Astyanax mexicanus: one gene and its partners. The protein of the gene in region 2 interacts with the protein of the main gene of each other region in a pairwise test. Links are inferred from orthologs where the notes say so. Each region holds a gene or a part of one and is shown on either strand. Other genes may lie near its edges. The genes, in order: fa2h, erlin1 and sec22a.

Evidence for each region.
Region 1: the proteins of erlin1 (region 2) and fa2h interact in binary tests that used the Homo sapiens proteins (3 or more experiments, as listed by UniProt). The two-hybrid records come from large-scale screens. The link is inferred for Astyanax mexicanus from reciprocal best matches to the Homo sapiens genes ERLIN1 and FA2H.
Region 3: the proteins of erlin1 (region 2) and sec22a interact in binary tests that used the Homo sapiens proteins (3 or more experiments, as listed by UniProt). The two-hybrid records come from large-scale screens. The link is inferred for Astyanax mexicanus from reciprocal best matches to the Homo sapiens genes ERLIN1 and SEC22A.

What each region holds. Positions count from the first base shown.
Region 1 is NC_064417.1:7,284,405-7,293,326, reverse strand, and holds the start of fa2h (fatty acid 2-hydroxylase), read right to left. Parts: upstream 3,318-8,922; 5' UTR 3,143-3,317; coding exon 2,861-3,142; intron 1-2,860. UniProt on the Homo sapiens protein: Catalyzes the hydroxylation of free fatty acids at the C-2 position to produce 2-hydroxy fatty acids, which are building blocks of sphingolipids and glycosphingolipids common in neural tissue and epidermis.
Region 2 is NC_064414.1:38,373,880-38,382,186, reverse strand, and holds the start of erlin1 (erlin-1), read right to left. Parts: upstream 3,730-8,307; 5' UTR 3,622-3,729; intron 966-3,621; 5' UTR 947-965; coding exon 834-946; intron 757-833; coding exon 675-756; intron 304-674; coding exon 257-303; intron 117-256; coding exon 55-116; intron 1-54. UniProt on the Homo sapiens protein: Component of the ERLIN1/ERLIN2 complex which mediates the endoplasmic reticulum-associated degradation (ERAD) of inositol 1,4,5-trisphosphate receptors (IP3Rs).
Region 3 is NC_064418.1:8,436,574-8,444,880, forward strand, and holds the start of sec22a (vesicle-trafficking protein SEC22a), read right to left. Parts: upstream 3,315-8,307; 5' UTR 3,185-3,314; intron 1,226-3,184; 5' UTR 1,212-1,225; coding exon 1,030-1,211; intron 1-1,029. UniProt on the Homo sapiens protein: May be involved in vesicle transport between the ER and the Golgi complex.

The DNA of each region.
Region 1 (8,922 bases), on a different chromosome or scaffold from region 2:
TGGCATATTGCAATAGTGTAAGCAGGGCGATATCCTGCAATTGTTTAAATACAATTTATGAGAAAAACTAACATCATAATCTAAAAAATTACTCTATAATTTTTATAACCTAAATAAAAAATTACCTTTTTATCAATATAAGAAAAGTAGGATCTAACATCAGAGCACAACACTAAAAGAAGCACTATGTTTTAAATTTGATGCAGTATTCCATAGCAAAATATTGCATAACAATACAATATTACAATATTTTAACACCACTAACTGGAATATACACTTTTAAAGATAAGAAGGTTCCTTGTTTTGTTAAGATACAAGCTTTCTGGTTGAAAACAAGCATACAATAAATACAATAAATAGGCAATTATCAGGAGGAAGCAGCTGATTTTCCGTTCTTTTTAGAGAAGCACTGAGTAATTACTGTTAATGGTAGCCCTGTGTATGCAACAGATGTGTCAGCTAAGGGTTAGGCTTGAATGTTGGGCCGTTGGGCAGATTCGTTTTAAATTGCATTATTTAATTATTAAATTAGATTAAATTTGGAAGATTGCAATGCAATGCAAATCACATTGCAACAGCTGCCATGATTAGTCTCAAGCTTTTGAACTGGTAGCTTTAAAACAAAAAAGTGTCTGAAAAAATAAACAGACCTGGAGCCTAATCTGTGGACAATATTCATGTTTGTTTGGCCATTGGCACATGTGTTTTGGGGAAGGGGGGTAGTACACTATAGGACCATGTGGTGCAGCCTAAGCTTTAGTCCTTAATGGCATTTTTCCACTTACATTACTTTTACTTTTATACTTTAACCCTAGTGTAGTTTTGAAACCAGATCTTTTACACTTTTACTTGATTAAAAAGCTTGAGTTGATGCTTCAACTTCTACAGAAGTAGTTTAAACCCTAAAATTCATACTTATACCTGAGCAATGAATGTGAATACTTTATATTTAAATAACCAGGATATTAGATTATCTCAAGCATACTTTTGCCCAAACTAACTAGACCACATTATCTCAAAATAACATCAGAAATCATGCCACACCAGCTCTCTGTTGAGATGCAATCAGGAAGGCCAGATAACATAACCACAGCAGTGACGGATGGACGTGCAGAAAAAGCCTGCAGGGCACAATGGAACGCTTTCCAAGAGCTACTATTTTGTGGATTATGTATAAATGTCCCAGGAGGGACAGACAAGCCAGACCGGTCTTACACTCTCGCTCCACAAACACACAAACACACACACACACACACACACACAAACACACACACACACACACACATAGGGCTACTAAGTACGCAATTAGCACCTTTCCTTCCATTCAGGTAGGCTACAATTACTGGTAGTCAAGCATTTTTTTATGTAAAGAGCTGCACTATAAATAATCAAATACACGTAATTAGCGTAGAAATACAGAAAGCACTGATCTGATACCAACTTTGAGTCTATCGTGAAACAGTATACAAACAGTGATGTGTAATATTTGTGCATCTTGATATGATTTGTGTATCTTTATATAAGTGTGGCTACAGCTTAAGGCATGGGAACAAGATCAAAATGCATGGCCACAATTTATTGTGGTCGGAACTTAATTATCTAATTCCAATATATATATATATATATATATATATATATATATATATATATATATATATATATATATATATATATATATTTATATATATATATATTACATGGTTGTTATTTAAAAAAAATGTACTATTATATGACACTGTGAAAGATTAGTTCATGCAGTCCACTCATAATAAAGAAACGATGTGATCTGAGCAAAGGGAGGGCCAATATGACAGCGAACAAACAATCAGCCATAACATTAGCACCACTGACTGGTGAATTGAAAGACATTGATTATCAGATGGATATATTAGAATGCATATATTAGGCAGCAAGTAAACAGTCCGTTCTTAAAGATAATGTAGTAAAGCAGGATAAAATAGCAAGCGTAATCTGAGACACCGAGGCACTCTGACTGAAACAAAACAAAACTGTGATGGTTAGACAACTGGGCTGGTTCAGAACATGTCCAAAACATCAGGCAGGTCTTGCGGGGTGTTCCGTGTTTGCAGCAGGCAGTACCCACCATTAGTCCCGCAAAAAAGGACAACCGATTGACAAGCGACTGGAACATGGCTGCCCGAGGCTTACTGATTTTTATGATAAGGCCACACCTCTGATCACTAATCAGTGTATAGTATCAGTGTATTATAAATTTAAAAATGCAATTGAATTGTCCAAACTTAACTTAATTTAAACTTAATTTAGTTGTCCCCACAGGTTTCCATGCTTTAATAAGTTTTGGCACTCCATTATTTATTTATTTATTTATTTTTTACATTATGTCACCTCAGGTGCTCTGTAGAAATGTACCAGAGATGCCTAAAAACCCTTATTTGTTTATTTGTTGTAATTTATTTGTCGGTTAACAGCCTTGGAAAACAAATATATTGGAAAAAGACATATATTTAGCAGCTCAACATGACAACCCAAACTGTCTCCAGTGTCTCCAGTGGACCTGCCTACCTGAACCTCCTCCACCTACCCACCCACCTACCTTCCTACCTCACCTGTCTCCCAGGTGAGCGCCCTCTGCTCCATCTGTCTCTACCTCTACCATAAGTAGCCTATGCTAATAAGACGAAACACGTAAATATAAGCAAGGTGTATGGTGCATGGGTGTTGTTTATTGTAGCTTATTTAAGTTCTTAAGTTAAACATCTAAGTTATCTGTTCAGTCTCTGATTCTGTAACTTTGATGGTAAATGATGAGAAATAGAGAAAAGCTTCGTTTAAAGTCGTATAAAACATTAAAACAGTCCAACAGCAGTAAGGAACATACCTCTGTGTAGTACTCCGTACTGTCCCTGTCTAGTTCCCCGATGTAGTACTGCTCCATCCACCGCCTGGCGTTCTCGGAGTGGCGGTGTGGAGGTCCCTCCAGCTCCGGGCTGATGTCCTTGCCGCTGCGGCGCAGGATCAGCGCCTCTCCGCCCGGGTGCATGCGGAGGAATCCGGTCACATCGTACACCCGCGTCCCCTTCAGCACCCAGCAGGACTCCTTACTGCAGTGCCTCGCCACTTCTTTCTCGGTGAAGAAGCGAGGGGACACCGAAGGCGACATCTGGTCGTTTTTGGAGTTATCAAGCTGTATCAGATATTAAGGTGTCCACTTTAAAACAGCAGCAGCAACAGGAGGAGGAGGACAGTATGGGTTTTCAGACCCCCACAGCACAGTCCGGCTACACAGCCCCGAGAAACACAACCAACTAAAGTTGCTTCTGACTTTTGCCCTGACTCTCTCTCTCTTCCTCCCTCCCTCGATTAGCAACCGCAGGCTCCTCATTAGCATGTGATGAATAATGCATGAGCTTCCACAGCTGGGCTTGGTCAGGCACCTGTTGCGCACTGGCGCGCGTGGAGCGAAAACACAGAAGAGAACGTTTGTCTTCAGTTTTTATTCATATTTATCTACTTTAATCTCGTGTTTACCCAGCTGCCATTTCAACGTTTAATCAAATGTTGATGTTATGGTTGTATAACACCAAATCAACGTTGAATTTGGTGTTAATTTTGAAAAGTAATTCAACGTTGATATGGAAATGTTGTTTCAACGTTGTAAGTTCAAACTTTAATAAACCAGAGCTCGCTAAAACTAGAAAATTCTATTAGCAATAAACTTACATCACTGTAGTAAAGCTGAGTATAAAGAACGTTAACCACCTCTAGCAATGTGACTAAACATCTGATCTCAAAAAAACAACAGTTAAACAAATAGAATATGAACATACCTCCAGGTATGGTGAAGAATTGGTGCATTACTTCAACCAGATTTAAGCCACATTTTAACGTTGAGAAAACTCCTTCAAATGTAGTCAAAGGTGATTTAACCCTTTCAGACCTGAAATATGGACACTGGACTGTATGGACTGTACTGGACTGTATGGACTGTAATATTTAATATAAATTCTACATGAAAATGAAATCCAAATAACTAAAATATTTAATTGCGTTTTAATGTCCATTGCATTGTTTGGCATTTTTATTTAAAATTTGATATTTATTTCCTTTATTTCACAAACCACCCCTAAACCGTAAAATAAACATTTTAAAAAGTGTTCTAAATCACATAAAAAAAATAGCTCAGTCTTTGTCCTAATGTCTGAGATGCTGTTTATTCCAGTGCTGTGGGCGGGGCTAAGCTACTGTTTTATTGACTGATAAACTTTGTCTTTTTCATAATGGTCTATTCCGTTGGAAACCAGGCCTTAATTACTGTTATATGCATAAAAAACATATAAAAAAGAAAATACACGATGTATATTGTAATGGACACAGGGTCTGCAAGGGTTAAATGTCCCAACTTAGCTTCTTTATTATATCTGCATTGTACTATGCATTTTCAATTGTATCCCAAATTTAAATATAACATTATAGTCATTATGGATTTTAGAAAAAGTGCACTGTTTAGGGTAGTGCACTATGAAACCCTGTGGCTCGGCCTAAGCTTGTGTCCTTAATTGCATTTTTCCCATTACATTACTTTTACTTTTAAATTTTAAGCAGTTTTAAAACCAGTACTTTTACACTTTTACTTAAAGAGTAAAAAGCTTGAGTTGATACATCAACTTCTACAGAAGTGTTTTAAACCCTACTATCTATACTTCTACCTACAGAGTAATACATTTTTGTATGTGTATGTGTATAAAAAAAACTTCGTATGTGTATTTTAAATTACCAGGATATAAGAGTATCTCAAGCTAACATTTACCCAAACCAACTAGTCCACACTTACTTTCTGACACAGCTGGACTTGTTCAGGCAGCTGTTGCGCACTGGCGCGAATGGAGCAAAAACACAGCAGGGAATCTTTGTCTTGAGTTTTTTATTCATATGTTTCTATTTTTTTCTAGTGTTTAGTGAGGAAACGTCTATAAATGTAGTCAGTGGTGATTTAAAGGAGATATTCTCCCTCGTAGACTTCATAGGCATAGATATGGGGGCGTGTCTGTATGCTAATTAACCCCCCTCTGTAAACGCAGAGCGCACTACCTGCACAGGTGTTTACATAAGCGGGCGAGTCCAGCAGTGCAGAGATAAGCTGATGTAAAAAAAAAAAAAAAAAAAAAAAGATAAGCTAAGTTTGTACAGTGACGCAACCAATAATTAACACTTTTCACAAATTTTGTATTATCAGTTAATCGCCAAATAATAGCCTTTTTCATTTTCACCTTATTTTCCATAGTCGCCTGATACTGTCTACAAGTTTTGGACAAGGCAAGCACGCCCTCTCTGGCTAAACAGCGTTTAATACAGTACCAGTCAAAAGTTTGGACACGCCTTAAATTCAGTGTTTTTATTATTAATTGGAAATTTTGTGCATTATAGATTGTACAGTACAAAAGTCATTCAAACTACGGTGATGTTTTAGATTCATGAGTTTGAGAGCATCAGTTGTGAAGTTGTGAAGAGGTAGAGTTGGTATACAGTGAATAGCTCTATAATGTTCTTATTCATATTATGTCAAGAACTACTCAACTAAGTAAAGAAAAAAATAATATTTCAATCCAAAGTGTAGTCACAAAGACCATCAAAAACGTTATGATGAAACTGGCACTCATCAGGACCACCCCAGAAAAGGAAGACCAAAAAGTTACCTCTGTTGCACAGGAAAAGTTAATCAGAGTTACCAGCCTCAGAAACTACAATTTAACAAGACCCCAGATAAGAGCACCTAAATGTTTCACAGAGTATTTTGGTTTAACAACTCTAAAAACAAGAGTGTTTTTAGAGTTGGGACAAAATTTTGCATATCCAGATAAACATTTAATTATTCAAACATTTTTTTTATTAAATCAGATTTTAATAATAATACAATTTCCATTCATTTTGCACAAATACAAATTCTTGATGTATAGTAGACACATACTACACATTATTGACTCCTTACATTATTAACTGCTTTTACCTCTTGATTTACAACCTGTATCTAAGTCATGTTTTTGTGCTTACTCTATTAACACTTTATTAAAAATTATTTATATACAAATTATATTTAGATTTTATGTCTGTCCCAATGTCATGGTCAACCCTCTTATCTCTGCTATAAAAATCCATTACATTTGAAGGAAATGCTAATAAAAACATGTGACATGCACTCAGTGATGCCATTTCCTCTGATGGGAAACATGTGGAAGGCAGTGAGATATGTCAAAATGCGTTATTACTGGCAGAGTAAATAATTCACCAGGGTCCATAAAAAGTCCAGCCTTCATCAAGGTAGTGATTTTATTTTTTAATTTTAATAGGTGCATGGTACAAAATATGAGGGTCCCCTTGTCAAAGAAAAGTGCATTAAGTAATGTTTTAAAAGGATAATTAACACAGAAGAGTACATACATATTTAAATACATACTAAATGTACTATTTTGTAACAACTTATATCCACTTAAATATATTTCAGTTGTAATTAAGCTATATATGTGTTAAATACAACATAAAAGCATTAGGATGTGCTTTGAATGCTTTTAATATATAACTTCTGTAAACGTAAGTAGCCTTAAGTAAGTGTTTTTTAAACATCATTTTTTAATACACTTTAAGTATAATATAAAATATACATAAATATGTTTAATTTAGGTAATGCTTACAACATTTAATAGAGTATATTAAACTGAAAATGTAAGTTTAGTATTCTTTACCTAATTTAAACATACTTTTAATGCTCTTTTCACAAGAGTCATTTTCTCCTCCTAGCCCCATTCCAGTGTTTTTTCTCCTAAATCTTCAGAATCAGGATTTACATATTAATATTTCACTGCAGGACAATAATAATTACCAATATTGATCTCTGTTGTTATAAATTATTAATTTTCTTGCTGATAGTAAATCAGTATTTAACATCAAAACCTGTATATTAAGATGTAAACATGTCTGCTGTATCATGCCTGTTAATAACACCTCCCACATCCGACAGGTTTGAACAGGACAGGCTAAATGTTGGAGGTTAATTCTCAGTAAACATCCCCCACAACAAAAACAGTGCAAACCTTCTCCAGAAGTTAAAATAGTGCACTTCAAAGAAAAGCTTGCTGAACATGTTTGGTCTGTGTTACGCCTCTTCCCCCACTTTTTCATCAGTACCAGTCTCCTCAGAGCAGAGCCGGTTTCACCACATTCACATGTGAACTGAAGTTTCAGTGTACAGTGCTTCAGTTTCACCTCCAGGCCGCAGTGTTGTCGCATTTTCCCTACAACCAGCTTCCTATCTGTACAACTGCCTTTCTATCTGTCAGTATCCATCCAATCATTCCTTTATTTAGAGTAATACGATCTCAAACCCGAATATTTCAACAACAAGATATTCAGACAACTGATTTTGAGTTTATTTGGGTTTATTTTGCTGTTATATAGAGTTTTACAAATAAATACACTGACTGACTTCTGACTTTATGTCTATTTGGGTTTATTATAATGTTGTACCCACTTACTGACTGCTGACTTTATGTTTATTTGGGTTTATTCTAATGTTATATAGAGTTTTACAGGTAAATACACTAACTGACTTCTGACTCTATGTATATTTGTGTTTATTATAATGTTATACACACATGCTGACTGCTGACTTTATGTTTTTTTGGGTTTTCTAATGTTATATATTAGTATATATAGTAATATATATAGTAATATATATATATATATATATATATATATATATATATATATATATATATATATATATATATATATATATATATAGTTTTACAGGTAAATACTGAAGGTGTGGTTATCTCCAATTAAACCCTTCACTTCATTGGAGATAACCACACCTTCATTTACCTGTAAAACTCAAAACACTCACTGATTGCTGACTTTATGTTTATTTGGGTTTCTTCTAATGTTCTATGGAGTTTTACATGTAAATACACTCACTGACTGCTGAACTTATGTTTATTTGGGTTTATTCTAATTTTATATAGAGTTTTACAGGTAAATACACTCACTGACTGTTGACTTTATGTTCTTTTGGATTAAATTTTAATGCTATATAGAGTTTTACAGGTAAACACACTTATTGACTGCTGAAAAGGAACAACACTGCCCTGTTGATGCCAGCAAAATTGTGACTGCATTTTCTGTCCAGTAGCAGAATTGTCACGGTACACTGCAAGTTTAATTAATTACATTTAACTCAAGATGTTTTTGGCTTAAAAGCTGGTACATTCTGTAATTTGACATCCTTGACAACATTAAGGGTTTACTTTTTAACTTCTATCAGTCTAAAGTCTAGTATTAACTCTGTGTGCCTGTAAGTGTAAAATGAGCTTGTGCATGTTTCTTTATGAGATCCTCTTTTTCTAAATGCACACACTTACTTTCTGATGTGCATAAAATTGGACACCTCATGAAAATCTTTTTGAACATATTTATTCATTTAAATATTTGCAAAGATGTCACTCATCACTCTGAAGGTAGAAGTGTAGATACTAGGGTTTAAAATATTTCTGTAAAGTTGAAGTATCAACACAATCTTTTACTCCTTAAGTAAAAGTGTAAAAGTAATTGTTTAAAGTATACTTAAAGTATAAAAGTAAAAGTAATGTAAGAGTAAAAAATACTGTTAAGGACAAAAGCTTAGGCCACACCACTATAGTCCTATAGTGCACTATAGTTTGGACATTTCTCTCGAGTTCTCTTGAGTCTCTGCACGGATCATCTTCATACTAGACTAGATACGTCTGCTACGTTCTTGCTGGAGTGTGGGCGTGACAGGTGCAGATCAGATGGATCACATACTCACATAATCTAATAGAGTGTTGGTGTTCAGAAGGTAGATTACCTTTTATTTATGCTAAAATGTATGCTCTTCTTCTTCTCTCTCTCACTCTCTCTCTTGCTCTTGCT
Region 2 (8,307 bases):
TATTTTAAACATTACTAACATTTCAAACATCACGAACTTCAGTACTGTTCATACCTGCTAATGGCACCAGCATGTTGACCACCTCAATTCTATCAAAATAGATCATGACACCCCCACTGCAAGCAAGCAAACAAAAAACAAACCTTAAGTCTTATGATAAGTTCTTAAAAATGTAAAAGGTCATTTAAGTAAGCATATGCATATGAATAACATATTATTCTATCTATTCCTATATCTGTATAAATGGTTACATTACCTTGTTCCACAAGGCACATTTTTGATTTCATCTGTCTGCATTGTTGTCTAGATCACAGAGAACATGATTAGAAAATAATAATATACAAAACAAATGACATTTTTCGAATCCGTGTGACAGTTAAACGTAAAAGTAATGGAATTACTAAAATTAATACATTTTAAATAAACAGTTTTGTATATGATCACTGTGCAACGAAAAAAAATGCATTTCCTTAATAGTAACTCTACAGGGGGAGGAAGGACTGCTCCTGTGTTTTGAAGATAAAATAATTGAGATACGTTTTTTTTCACTGGAAAGCAGCAATATCCAGAGTCAAATTTGTATGAGCATTTTTTTTATCTTAAATTACACTTAAATGTCTGATGCACTTTTCAAATGGGAATACAAGAACATAATTCCAAATAACTGCTCTTACCTGGACAGATCTGTAGGTAGTGATGAAAGGCAGCATGATGTGATAGCCTGGGCCATTTGGAGTGGTTAGCAAAGCCCCACCTCTATAAAAGACAATACATTTAGTTTTAGTTCTTTAAGATATAGTTGTTTTTAAATGTTTTATTTTTAAAATACTTACCTGTAATAAACAGCTAAATGACCCTCTTCAATCTTATGTATGGAAGAGTGAAGCATAATGGCCATCACACCAGCAATCGCCGCAACCACTGCCCCAACATGCGCCATCGTCATCCTTCGCCCAGAAACTCACCTGGTGGAATGTTATGCATAGTTAACAAATGTATTCCTGAACTCATTTTGCATTGTAAGTGTGTACACCTAAAGATACTTTTTTTAGGATATGCAAATATTTCTCCACGCATGAAGAATTTTAGACATTTCCTGTTCACCCTCAGATCACATTCTCCCTACTGTAAGAAGCAGCTTGCTGATTTGCCTCTGTGCCTCTATATTTTCATGTCATTTGTGGCCTGACGGACTCTTAGAGAGAGTGAGATAATAGTTTCATTGCAAGGGAAAAAGAGAATGAGGACATTGGGGCCATGTCAGATTAAGACTGGTGTAGACAGGGAGAGAAAGGACATAAAGCAAGAGAGAAGCACATACGAAAATATTACAGTACAAATGTCAGGAATTTATTTTACAATCACAGTGCATCACTTCTTTCATTTATTCTATATTACTTTTTTGCCATAATATAAACAGTCTACTTTCTGTGTCCCCCACAAAGCAAAACATCATATCTAACAGGACTGCAATGATAAGTGGATATTATAGACATTGATAATCATAAACTTATGAAATTATAAAAATGTCGACTAATCATTATTTGTAACAGCATTGCACTACACAAAGTTCTCGGAACAGAAAAGCTCAACTCATTCTATGTCTCCAAAAGTGCCCAAACACAAAAGATAATGTAATTACTTACAAAATAGCTGTATCTTCCACTTTTAAACAGCTTCTAGGCATTTAAGCCGTTTCTTTAATTTTAAAGTGATGGAGGATATGGCATAAACAATTGTTGACTAATCGACAAAAATAAATTTATCAACTACAAAAATAGTCAGTAGTTGAAGGCCTAATTAAAAAAATCTCTCAGTATGATTAAAATTACGTACACACAACACAACACGATATGATGGAAAATATGATGGAATGCATAACATTAAAGTATTAATACTTATTTTTCAGAACACCAAAAACACATGCTGCATATTTAATAGTATGTAATTATGTGTCTAAGCAATGTAGCTAATACACATAAGACAACTGCACTGTACTGCATTCACATGCTTACATTTCGCTATTTACATTTGCTTAATAAGCATCATCACATTACTAGAGATGGATGTCTAGGGGTGTCTTATGCAATAAAATTATGCACTAAATATGCTGCACTCGAGATTTGAGGTAGATTTCTGTTGTTATATTAATTGTGTTGCTGTAATATATTCTTGAAATGATATATATTTTTAAATCTATGTTTTGTCTTATATTTTGTCATATTTTTGTGGAAACACCCTGAAATACCATGATATTATTTAAGGCCATATTGCCTATACCTAATGCACAGCATATACAGCTCTGGAGAAAAAACGAGTTTTTTTATTTTACTTAAAAACCTCTGGAATATAATCAATATATAATCTGGAATATATTTTTTTTGTTATTTTAGCCATTTCTCATTTTCTGCAAATAAATGCTCTAAATTACAATATTTTTATTAGAGATAAATGTTGTTCATAGTTTATAGAATAAAACAACAATCTTCTTTATACTCAAACATATAGCTATAAACAGCAAAATCAGAGAAACTGATACAGAAACTGAAATGGTCTCTTATTTTTTTGTAAGAGCTGAAAATGTTGTGCAAAAGGGAAATTCTCAGAAGACTAACAGCTAACTATATAACATACATTCAGGTTGAAAGCAAAAATGAAAGACAGAAGTTACTGTACTTCTTTGCTGATGTGACCTGAACGTAGCTAAGCTAGCTAGCTTAACTTAACTCACTGACAATCAGGAACCTGTGTACCCTAGATTGTCAATTTGTGCAACAAGCAAAACCTGCTGGACCAATTCTGGACAATATGAAATCATCAGCTAATATGAAACACATGTATTAAGAATATATCACAGAATAGCACAGCCTGCTCTGCCCTCATAAATAACTAACTTACTGTGTTTGTCAGGTTGGTCTGGGTTGAGATGGCATGTCAAACATCCCCCCTCGCAGAGTCCATAAGGAAACGACGAGACAGCAATGCTATTTTGGGTAGCTAGCTAGTTATCTATGCGGGTTTCATACAGCTGTCTAAGTAGCTGTGCATTTAACTGTCAAAATAGCTGAACTAAAGAAACACTGATTAGTTAAATTAAGAGCAAACTCTGAATGCTTCTGGATAGTGTAACTTACTTCCTCGTTGTGCACTCAAACCGTGTTGTTCATTAGCTAAACTAGCTTATCAGGAGCGGAGCTGTCCATTACATGGGAGTGTCAATAATGCCTCGCTGGAAGCTAATTAGCTAACTAGCTCACTAACTACAGCCACGAACATGCTAAGCTAACTGCTCGCTAAAACCTTAACTAACTATCTAACACTAGTTAACCGTAAAACAACAGCTTACAGAGGCTACCTAGTCAGTAGCTAACTTTACATAGGTGAGCTAACGTTATATAGCTAGCATTCCTACTACAGCTGAAGCTAACGTTCAATACAGACAGCATTAGCTTGTTAGCGTTAGCAGCTAATGCAGGGTTAGTATGAATGGCAAGCCTGTCGTTATTAGCTAGCCGTTATCCAATAACCGAAGCAGCACAGTCAGCGGACCAGCACAGTTTTTAAACCACACGGCTTCCGATAGCGCAGAAAAGATAAACTGCCCCAGAATAAACGCGTTACCTGTCATTCGTTAGTCAGAGAAGGCTGGAGTCTATCATTTCACTTTCATTAGATGAGGAGGACCGGAGTCATGCCCCCCAAGCCGCTCCCACCGTGCGCGCAGCAGCGTCAGCGGCCCGGGCGGGGCGGGGCTGAGCTTCGGCTGGAATCGGCCTCCAAAATAAAAGTAAGATGAAATAAAATAAAATAAAGTCTTATTTCTTTGTGTGGCGCTTTTAACAAAGCAAACAATGAATTTAAGATGAACAAGACCATCTAATCTATAACAGTGTGGACAGTGTTTGTTTGGAACATAATCACAGCATCATTATAACAAAAAGTAATATTTGTTCATCTTTAGGATTTTTACAGTCTGATATATTGTTTCTTAAGTTTGACAGTCAGTTTTTTTTAAACAGTGTGAGAACGAGGAGATAATGCCCTGTGAATAAGATCCAAAGTGGCATTTGATTATTTTTATATTACATGCCTATACACATCTACATATTACATGCTATGTTCACAGGGTCATTTTGGAAAATATCCACAGTGTTTTTTTTTGTTCTTTTTCAGGATTTTAACCGTCTGAAGTATTTTATCTTAAGTCTATATTTAATAATATAATATTTTATTATTATATATTATTATTATTATATTTTATTTTATTCTATACAAGTCTAAGTTAAACTTTGAGCGTTTTTATGTGTTTTTTTATTTTTATTTTATTTAGAGCGTTTGCACAGCGTTGTGCTTAAATGTGGCTTTTTACTATCAAAGCCCCTCATCTTCAGGTGGCCGCATGTAACTGCAGTAACATTTAAGGTGGAACGAAAATCCGAATAAGTCGCTGGCGAACAAGAAGCCAACTTCAGCCGCGCAGCTAAATCAGAGTTTATAAATGCTTCAAATTTTCTCAACACAAAACAATATATGTGTCAGCACCACAGGCATATTTATAAAGCGTTTAAATTCAAGATATAAACGTGCTCTGGCTGTAACTTCAGTAGCTCATCAAAACCAACCAGGCATCTCACAGTAGCACAGTAATGCAGCACCTTTAACTTAAAAGAGTAATGTTTTTTAGTTTTAGTTTTTAGACGTTTAGCTCAATTTATCCCCATTTCCTTAACCTCCATAAAACCTTTCACTGTAAAAATATATATTTTTTAGCAAAATACAGAATTCTTACTATTCTACAAAAAAAAAAACAGATACGTGGGTGAGTTTTTTCTTCTTCTTCCTATTTCTCTTGTTAATTAAATCTGTACGTATGTATGTTTGTTTTTGTTTTATATGATCATTGAAAAAAAAATTGGGATTCCACTATCTATAAAGACCTTGATCTTACGTTTTTCCACAAATAAAAAATTGTCCTTAGAAAACTCAAGGAATATCCTGTTTAAGTGGATATTTACTATTTTTATTTTAAGTTTTAAACGTTTCGCTAAATTCACCCATAAAATCCGTTTGCTGTATAAAGTTTTTTTCTTTTCTTTTTTTTTTTTTTTAGCAAAAACTCAAGGAATACCTGTTTAAGTGTTAAAGTGAAAAGTTACTGTTTTTTGTTTTTAGCCGTTTGGCTCTATTCACCCCCCCTAAAATCTCTTAGATGTAAAAAAAAAAAAAAATACTTTTTACAAAATACTTTATTCTACTTTATAAAATTCAAGAAATATCTTGGCCTTATGGTTAGCTACTATTTTTATTTTGTGCTTTTAGCCGTTTAGCTCCGTTCACTTTAAGTGCTGCTCCAGTGTAGTTCACATATTAGCGTTTATAGTCCATAATCCCACCCTGCGCACTGCTGTTCTCCTGTAGTGTCTACACTCTGGTGAAGGGCACGTGGTTTTAAAGAGGTACAGACAACTACTGTAATGGACAACACATCTCTGCTGCAGACTGTACAGCACAAGATCTGTACCAATCTGAAACACTGAGAAAAGTAAATCAATTCATATGAGTAGTCCCAGGTAGGTATAGCCTGTGTCCAGCAGATGTCACTCTGGTAATAAAAATGAATTCCCATACTGTTTTCATAGACCCATAACGTGGCCCCATCTCTTGGGAAAACATTTTTAAAGCTATGTTATGTTTCACTGGGATACAGTTACTTAAGAGCATCATGTACATTCTTTCAAAGGAGCTGTAGCTTATAGAAGAGCAAACAATGTATGAATTTGTGCTTTACATCTTCCCCAGGATGAGCTACTGTGTGTGGGACATATCTTTGACACTATAGTAGTTCTGAATCTGCCAAAAAGTCAAAGTGTGGATTTAGCACAAACAGTCAAATTGATTACAGTTATTCTGACTTGTTTACAACCGAACTGTGTGTGTTTTTGCTTCATCAGCTTCACAGTCAAGTAAGGTCTAAGACTGTGCCCAAGTGCCATCTGCTGGATGTGAGTAGCAGATAAGCTTTCTACTGCTAATAAAACCTAAAAAACTTTACTTGTATGTGTCCCCTACAAGCCACTGGTTGATGAAATCCTTTCAGTTATGTTGAAATTGGGTAATAAGTGTGTTTTCTTAGTGTAGTTACTGTTATGGTTGGTGCTCATATAGCGATCCCTTAACAAGTTTAATTTTATATAGACAACAGGTATTCATTTTACCTGGGAATGGTTTTAATGTTATCGGTATGTATTATATTCAGTGTAGGGATTTGTCAGATCTCTTATAATATCTCAAAAAATGTGTACCGATTTTCAGTAGCTGTAATAACGCTTACTGTTTTTTTAGGGACAGATATTACAGATACAAACCAGAGTTGCAGACAAAGCTGTCAAAGTCCTGGATGTTCTGCGAGGGGACTTGTGGTAAAGTAATACTTACATCTTGTTTAGTTGAGTTATGAATGATAACAACCAAGATAGGAAACGGATGTTAAATAAACATTATTTTTTTCATCTTTAATACATTGCCACAATATTAATTTGAGATGTCAGAACTAATGTATTTGTGCACATTTTTTTTTACGATGATACAATGGTTTTATATAATTTGTTAGTATTAAACTTTAATTACATGAGATATGTGTTGCTTGTTTGTATTCTATTCTTATAACTTGTATTGTGCTCTTGCAAAAAATAAGCATTTACATAAAAATAATTGTGAATAATATTTTTATTTGAGGGGGGCACATTTTGCCTAAAAGTATTTATTGTGAGTAATTAGGTATAGAAGGTCCCCAACCATTCAAATATTCAACTGTTCAGGGAGTGTATCTGAACTTCTTGCTAATTATATTACTGCAAGTCCTTAAAACTTTTTTATATTAATTTTTATTTCTATTAAAAAATATAGCTCATTATGATTTTATTATATTATATTATTTAAGGAAAATCATTGAACATGTGTGTATGTGTGTGTTTAGGTGTGCTTCCAGTCAGTCTGAGAATCTGGAGAGTTGCAGCTGTTGTCACTGGATGCAGGACTCTGTACTGCCTTCCTCTCTTAGCAGATAACCGTTAGTGCCTGTGGTTTACCAACCATATAACACACCCATCAATCTGACAAAAAGACTATTACCCACTTTAGTAACATTTCACTGCTGAATTTTACACACTGATATTAAATCTGTTGTATCCGACATGTGCAGTGTATGTGCTGTTGTTATGATGTGAGTGCAGATCACCAACTTGGCATGTTGTCTGATAGCTCAGTTCATTTTTTTACTGGCCACAGTCACTTGGCATGTTCTGTTTGTGGCACAAGGAAGAAGAAACCTCGAGCATGTGAGTGTCAGTCATTTAGTGTGAATTGTTTTATCATGGTTCACTTACTCTCACTGAGGATACATTGTATTCAGCATTTAAACTCTAGGATTGTTGAGTTATGAATCATTAAACTAATAATCAGTAACTGTGAAAGACACTTTTCCTTTTTGCTGTTTATTTTATTATGTACCAATTAAACATAACCTTATGACCACCTTCATTTTTTTCAGCTCCACTGATCGTATAAGAGCACTTTGCAGTTCAATATAGTGACACTGTAGACCTTCTGTTTCTCTGCATACTTTATTACTCACCTTTTACCCTGTTCCTCACTGCTCAGGACCCTCAGGACCACCAAAGAGCAGGTATTATTTGGGTCATTCTCAGCACTGCAGTGACACTGACGTGATGGCAGTGTGTGTTGTGTTGGTACAAGTGGATCAGATACAGCAGTGCTGCTGGAGTTTTTAATCACCTCAGTGTCACAGCTGGAATGAGAATAATCCTGTGAACACCAGTGAATGAGTAGAGCATGACCAAAACAAATTGTGCAGCAACAGGTGAGTTTCTGTCTCTAACCTTACATCTGCACAGTAGAACAGTTAGGTAGTAGTGTCTAACAGAGTGGACAGTGTTTAAAAACTCCACCAGCACTGCTGTGTTTGAGCACACCGTCACCATGCCAGTGTCACTGCAGTGCTAAGAATGACACACCACCCAAATAATAATATCTGTAGGAGTCCAGAAGTGTCCTGACCATTGAAAGGATGATAATACAGTATGCAATAAAAAGACACACTATAGTCTTCAATTATAGAACTATTATGTGTCCTATATGATCGATTGAGATGAAAATTGATGAATAGGTGTAGAAACAAGGAGATTATGTTGTGCTGAATTGGTGTATAATTAAACAGGTTAAAGATGGCCGGATCTGGAGAAGCAAATGCAGCTATCCAGTATGGCTTGTGCACAAATTCTGTTTTTT
Region 3 (8,307 bases), on a different chromosome or scaffold from region 2:
TTGCATTAGGAAAATAACCAAAATAATCGTCATGGTTATTTAGTTTTTTTTCTTTTTGTATATACTGTGTTTACTTTTTTTGTTTATTCTGTTAATGCCATTTTTCTTTTAATACTTATAAACCTAAAAATAACAAACCGGACTATGCGCAATAATATTAAACCAAGTGCAATAATAATGTGCAATACTTCTTTTGCTGGATCTACTGTTTTTTTGTATATTCTCCATTTTTGTTTATTTCCTTTCCTCTGGTCCTTCTGTGTATTATTTGTGTACTGTAATGATGCTGCTGGAGTTTAAATGTTCCTGGGATAATCTTTATATATACATCTATTAATCTATCCATCCACCCACCCAGTTATCCATCAATCAATCTCTCTATCATCCATCCATCCATCCATTCATCAATCAATCAATCAATCTCTTTCTCTATTATCCATCCATCCATCCATCTCAATATTCATCCATCCATATATCTATCCATCCATCATCTACCATCTATCCATCCATCTATCTAGATTATATTGATTTATATGTTGTAAATGGCAGTGTTGGCATTACTGGAAGATATTGCCAATGGCCAAATTTATTGAGAGTGTGTTTACTCTGATTATTGGGATTTCTTTGGCCCAAGATGCCTCTTATGGCATCTTATCTTCACCATTTTTCTAGTAAGAGTATTCCAAGGCCTGTTTATACTAATTAGCATATTATAATCTGCATAACTGAGGGCGGAGACAAGGAGGAGTGTTGTGTTCCTGCAGGTGCGCTCAATATGTCGTTGATTGTGATGTACTAAGAGAGAGTGCGTGGCATTCTGCTTACATATGGTTTGATACATCTGGAGTTTTATAAGCGTACGGTACTTGTACGCTATATTTTTGTAGAAATTTTACCCAAGTCTTAGTACATGAGGCCCCAGAATCTCAGAGTCAGCGGAACACTGTTGAATACAGTTTTTTTCTACACCCTTAAACGAGAACACACAACAGTGCATTGGGATGCATACAGATAGTAATGAATCCTTACTTGACATTGTACTGTCCAGTCTTGAGAGAGCAGCGGTCAGGGAACTGGCTGAGTTTTTTGGACAGACCCTTGAGGTGCTTCTTGGTCTCCTGCAGTCCTTTGTCCTGCTCATAGTCAGTGGAGGCAGAGAGAGGCAGGCCGTCCCTCACCCGCACCACTGAGGCAAACAGGACCATAGACATCTTACAGCAGGATCCTGCAGGAGTGTAGGAGAGCATTCCATTATTTCTGAGCATTTGAATGTAGTTGTCACCATAGAGTTAATTGGTAATCCAGAATCCAGAAATAAACTATTTGTTTGGGCAGTTTACTTGTTGGTAACAAAGCTGTTTAACCAGCTCTCGACTGCTATAGTGTATGCATTTGATTTTTTGATCATGCTTGGACATGCTGGTTATCCAGCTTGGCCATGTGGATCATGCTTGCAGACCATATTAAACATCAATGAGAACATCATATGAGAACATACACTTTGGCTGGTAAACTAAATGTAACCCTCTGTGGCATTAGTTTTTTTGGGAGGATAAAAGCTTGGGATTCCCTGTGAATATGTCAAATATATATTTTTGACTTTTGATAACAAACTGATCAACAGAATCAGATGTTTTACAGCAAGTGTTCTAGCTCTATAATGCTGCCCAAAAGAAAAAACAACTTAGTAAACACATTAAAAAAGGTATGAAATTGTGTTCGTTGCCTAAGGGCAAAACTCTGCCATAGAAGGTTAATCAGTTTGAGCTGGTCATGTTGTTTTCCTCAGCAGGAAACATAGACAACTAACTAGCATTAATTTACTGGATAAGCATGAGAAATGTATAGTATTTGTAGTATTGAATATTAATATATTTAATCTACTGCCAAGCAGTTTATCTAGCTAGCTAGTTCCTTAGTTAGTTAATTCACTGAATAAGCCTGATAAATTTACAACATTTGAAGTGATGATTATTAATATAATTTTTAATCTACCATCTAGTAGAGAGGGTGGGTTGTGTGTGTGTATTTTTGTTGTGTTTCTCTGTTATGATGATGTATGTTTCATATTATCTTTCACAATAAACAAATTAAGCATAATCTTCCATCCCACCATTTATCTGATAAATTTGCAGCATTTGAAATGTTGAATATTAATATATTTAATCTACTGCCTAGCAGCTTATACAGCTTGTTAGTTAGTTAATTGAACTAACTCACTGGGTAAGCCTGATAGATTTTTAGCATTTGTAGTGTTGAATATTAATATATTTTGCAAATCTACTGCCTAGCACCTTATCTAACTAGTTAGTTAGATAGCTGGCCTAATTCACTGGATAAGCCTAATACATTTACAGTATTTGAAGTTTTTAGTAATTTAATCTACTACCTGGGAATTTATCTAGCTAGTTAGTTAGTTAGTTAGTTAGTTACTTGGTTAATTGGTTAGTTAGTTAGTTAATTCACTGGATAAGCGTGATTAATTTACAGCATTTTACAGCAGTTTATCTAACTAGCTGATTAGTTAGTTAGTTAGTTAGATAGTGTGTAAGTAAATAAGTAAGTTGGTTAATCTAATTCAGTGGATAAGCCTGACAGATTTAAAGCATTTGCAGTGATAAATATTAGCATATTTTGCTAATCTACTGCATATCAGCTTATCTTACTAGTTAGTTAGCTAGTCTAATTCACTGGATAAAGCCTGTTAAACTTACAGCAATTGTAGTGTTGAATATTAATATATTCAATCTACTGTCTGGGAGTTTATCTAGCTAGATAGTTAGCTATCATTACTTGCTGTAAACTACACAGTCATCAAGCTGAACATCTCGAAATTAACTAACCTAGCACACCAAGCTGTTACAAACCAGAGCTAATTAACCTAATTAGCCTAATTAGCTAGCTATCTCTCCAGCATCTGGCAGCTGTTGCCCACATGAGATAAACAAACACAGGCTCTTTCAGATACACCTCTGTCTAACCTAAATCATGTAGTATAATGTGTGTGTCTACGGTCACTGTGTATAAACAGAGACTGTTGTTAGCTGGTTAGCTGCTTAGCTATAACTGTCTGCTGGGTGACAGCAGCTCAAACCTGAGCCCAGACTCTCACAAACAGGCCGAACCAGGACCAGAACCCGCCCCCGGCAGCAGCAGGCCCGCGTCCCGCACTGACGGTACTCACTTCGGCACCGGTAACGGCTGGAGTCCCGACTTTAGCATCATTCTGTCCGCTTGTTTGTGTCTGTCAGCTCCGCCGCGGGAGGACGCAGCCATACACCAGCGCTGACGTGTCTGAGCCAAGAGCATTATGGGTAAGAGGAGCAGCAGTAGCAGCATTAAGAGCGGCTCTGTCCCAAACAACACAACGCTCCCTACCTAGACAATATTCTGAGGCATATTCACAGTAGGCCTATATAGCATTTAAAATAACCCTTTTATATAAAAAAGTAAATAAAACATTACAATGATACAATAAAATGTAGTGGATTATATAATTATTTCATAAATATGTGATGGTTCAATTTAGGAAACTGTAAACATTTAGCATTGTTCTGACTAGCACCATAACCTGACACACACATGACGGATATTTTTTTAAAGACCAGCATATCTAGCTATATCTTAATAAAGGACAGTAAATTTAACATTACAGTGATGCAATGTAAATATTTAACACATAATAATAATTAATGAACATTTATGAATTTTTTTTTTTAAATATGAATAGAGTTTAAAAACTAACAGCTATCAGCTACAAAACTTTACACAAAAAGTCTAGATTTTCAAAAGACCAATATCATTAACTTTAAACAAAAATGCAATATATGCAATTTTATGTTTGTTCTACCTCAGTTCTTTTTTTGTGTTCAGTGAGAGAAATCTAATCTGTTTTGGGCTTGGACAAGTGCATTAAAGTGTGATATGATAAGCCTTTGATTTTCATGTTTTATAGAACTCCAAATACTTGTCTTATTTTTTTGTATTATAACTGGAACTGTAAATAATGAATACATCATCAGTGTTACATTGTTACAGTGTTAATACATTATCAGTGTTCTTCCAGACTTTTGTCATATCATTTGATTACAGTTGCAGTTATTTCCACCTCTGCAGCGCCCTCATAAGTTCAACTATGTTATAGGCGAAGATGACGTTTTTGTGTGCTTTGGTAAATGCACACTCACAATATGCAAATCAATCTATCAATAACCCCACCCCCCTGGAGATGTCCAACAATCTGCGTCTCACCCATAGACTGTATATAAGTATTGACAGAACGACAGTTATTGAAAATTATACCAAAATTAGAGAGGCGTTTTATGAGCGACATTATTAGGCGATAACGCACTGTAACCGAAGCTCTTCATGTATTACTCCGCCACATACAGGTAACCTAGCAACGATTACCAGCCAAATACAATCCAAATGCGATGTCATTAAACACCACTGGGGGGCGCTGGATTCCATAGGCACAGTGAAGGAACGCCATGTCTCCAATAGGGGGCGCAGGCAAAGACGCGGTGCCACACAAATAAATAAATCCAAATTTATTCAAAAATAGACATTATTACACACATTATTAGCCACTAATATCAGGCTAAGAGTTGTTGTTATTATTATATTAAAAGTGTATATATTTTCCAGTTAATATAGGGTATTTTAATCTGAATGTAAGGTGGACTCTTGTAATACTGCAGGTCTTACCGCTGGGGGGCGCCGAAGTAAACAAAACTTTAATTCTTAAAAAACATTTTCTTTCAGTCAAACGAGCGCTGGACCTCTAATCCACACAGATTTCCCTCCTAAAAAAATTTATTTGGGTGAGGGTAAAGCTCTTACGTTTAATTACAGTAACGTTACGCTTAGATTTCCACAATTGTGACTAAAATGGACGATAATGCAGAGCTTACAGCGCAGCTAAAGTAGTAATGGAACTATTTTAACTCGCGGAGTGTTTATAAACAAACCGATCGCATTTTCTCATCCGGTTTAATTCAAAATCTTTCAATAAACAGTGATAATGGAAATGTGGTATAATCGCAATAATACACTCAAGGTTCGTGCTATAACGTGTCATATTGGCACTGCTGTGCTGATCTTCGGCACTCGGCCTTTGTTATAGCACTCCCTCTGGTGTATTATTGCTTAAGTGAAGCCACTACATCTCTTACGCCCTCTGGTGGCTGGCTCCAGTACAACTTTTAACCCCGCCTATTTCCATTCAATTGAAGTTTTATAGGAGTAATTCCGTGATATTTAAAGGGTTGTAGCATGTGGTGATTGATTGACAGCTGAGGGCAAGTTGATTGATAGGTCGCCTGAGAGTGTGAACGCGCACCGCCACTGTGGCTCTTTCTGACATTTGGATTTTACTTTAAAAATGAGATATCTGAAGTAAAGCAATGGCTTATTCTGCAGTTAACTTATGTAACAGACCCTCAGGCAAACGTTCTCTGCAGTTTTTTCCGTATGTGGATAATTTCCCTCCATCAATTAATTTGTATTCATACTTTGTTCTTTGTTCTTGTGTATTTTTTTTATTTAGGTTAGGTTTTTAACCTAGCATTAACTACTTAACGCTAGCTAACTAGTTAACTAGAGTAGCCAACTCAGGTTAGCAGTTAAATAACAAGTTTTTTGGTGAAAATGCCAGTTTTGGTGAACGGTGAAGGCACTGGCCAGTGCCACGCCAGTTCTGGCTCCAATTTGCCTCTACTGCGTGAGCGCACACAAGATGGCATGTTCCATTTCGGCCATATTTTGGCTTCAAAATGCCATAATGAGAGTGAATGGGGACGCCCTGTCCATATTTATATACAGGCTATGGTCTCACTGCTATTAGAGGCACACTGCTCAGCCCAATCATCTCTCCCTTCTGCCCCGCCCTGTCCCTAAACCCATACATCACCCAATGCCCCTCCCAAACTACTCCTCTGATTTGTAGGCATTTTTCAAATTTGAGCTGAGGGTGGAGTCAGCTAGAACAGGTGGTTTAGTTACTCTTTGAAATATTTGTAACATTTGTAAAACATCAGAGCCCTCATTATTGGACTGTGGAGTGGCTGATGGCCCCCCACAATAGAAGCTGACCTGTCTCGTGCTCTCTCGGCTGGGTGCAATTAAATACTCACAGCAATGTTCAAAGCATCTAGTGCAAAGTCTCTATTGGAGTAGAGGCTTTTACTGCAAAAAAAACATGAGGCATTTGTTTGATAAATACCACTTATTTCAGAAGAAACACTGGATGAGAAAATGTCCACAAAAATTTGGACATGCTGTGGACCACTTTGGAAGGAAAAGATGTTTTTTTCTCTCTTCTGTTGGCCTGGATCCTCAAGCAAGAGTTTGATTATTATCTTACTTACTGGTGACATCTGGTACTTGAGTTTTCTACAGCAGGCTGTTTCCTAAAGAAGCAGATGATATCATTATAGCAAATTAAATTACTGAAGTATTTACTCATGTGGTAGACGCTGTAACGACTTGTTTGCATTGCTTTTTGTGTGTGTTTTAGCTTGATTTATTATGCTTGACAGGCTTTTGAAATAGATTTTATCATCCTTAGGCTGCATTATAGTGAGAGAAGGAGAGAATGAGAGATAATCATTGATTATGTAACCATTGATATGCTCTTTTCTGAAATATTTTTACTTAATCAGTTTGCAATATGTTTTAATGAGAATAAAATAGTTCAATACAAACTGTGAGTTAACATAAGGACTTACAGTTAATACAATGTAAAAGTAAATGTAAATGTAAATCCTGAGTTTGAAACATCTGCTCTGTATTCTAGGGCTGATCAGTAGAACTGAATGTCCTTCTCTTGGACAAGTCCATTTAAGAGCATAAAGTTAAATGCATTTAGAATTTCTACCCACAGTACAGAGACTGACCGATAAATGTAGGACAGCATACAAATGTACTTTTCAGAAGAAGTGTGTCAGATGGTAAAACAGTGATATATTTGCTTATAGAGACAGTGAAGGGATCCAGGGGTCATAGCAGGCACATCATATTCATAGAGCTGTGATCAGCAGGTTCAAATCCTGGTCATGCAGCTTGCCATCAGCTGCCGGAGCCCTGAGAGAGCACAATTGGCCTTGTTCTATCCCCTCATCTCTCCTAGGGTGATGTTGATCAGCACAAGGCGTCTGTGAGCTGATGTATCAGAACTAAGTCGCTGCGCTTTCCTCCAAGCACGCTGTTATGCTACTCAGCAATGCTGCATTAGCAGCAGATGGAAAAGAGGCAGTGGCTGATTTTACATGTATCGGAATATTTTTTGGAATTTGGGAGAAATATTGTCTGTAGTTTATAAAATAAAACAACAATTTTCATTTTACTTAAACATAAACCTATAAATAGCAAAATCAGAGAAACTGATTCAGATCATATGCATTGTGCAGCCGTGTTTTAAGAGAGAAACTCTTAGTTTCCTCTTAATGTCATAGAAAGTCTGGTGGTTCGTTGTGAATCTGTATAATCTGACCCACAGTGTCAACAAAGAAAAACTGTAAGACAGTTTAAATGAAGCAGATGGATATAAAATCAATAAGCAGACTATAATAAACACACTATGTGTGTTTTCCCCATAGAACCAGTTTCTCTATTCATAATTTCAATTTTCTGTTGATTTTTAATCTCACAAAACCCTAGATGAATTTGAAGAAGACCAGACAAAGCCAACGCAGACATGCTCACACCACATAACCCCCTAGAGAAGAATAGAGCAGGACAAGCAGGCAAGTCGTACCTCTTTCATCACAAAACTCAATTAAATACAGAAAACTGTGATTTCCCAATTGTAGCCGTTACATCTCTGTGGAACGGAGAAGAAAAGGAGTTTATATGGATCTTTTGTCAAGTGGTGTACATCATTTTGACTGTTGCTTTCAGAGTAAGAGTAGAAAATCTTTATCTCTCCAGAACAGATAATCGGGGTGTATTTATGTCTTTGACTTCTCTGATTCGGAGTAATTTGTCCCACTGACTCTTATTGAATTTTCCTCTGAGCAATTAAAGTCTGAAGCCACAGACAGAACGCCCATAGTGAGCAGAGTCCACCCGTAGTCCAAACAAATGTGACAAAACATAGAGGACAATTTATGTCAACAAACAAGTTGCATTAGAAAAGTTAGGGTTGTCACATCATTCAATCCTGACCAATCACAAGTGCATAGTAAAAAAAAAGTGCATGTATTGTGTTTGAGACAACACAGTTTCTTTCCAACCTTTTTTAATGCATTTTCTTTCCAATTTCTAAACAACTGCAGAGTCCAAGCTAATCGATTTAAACAGCTGTGC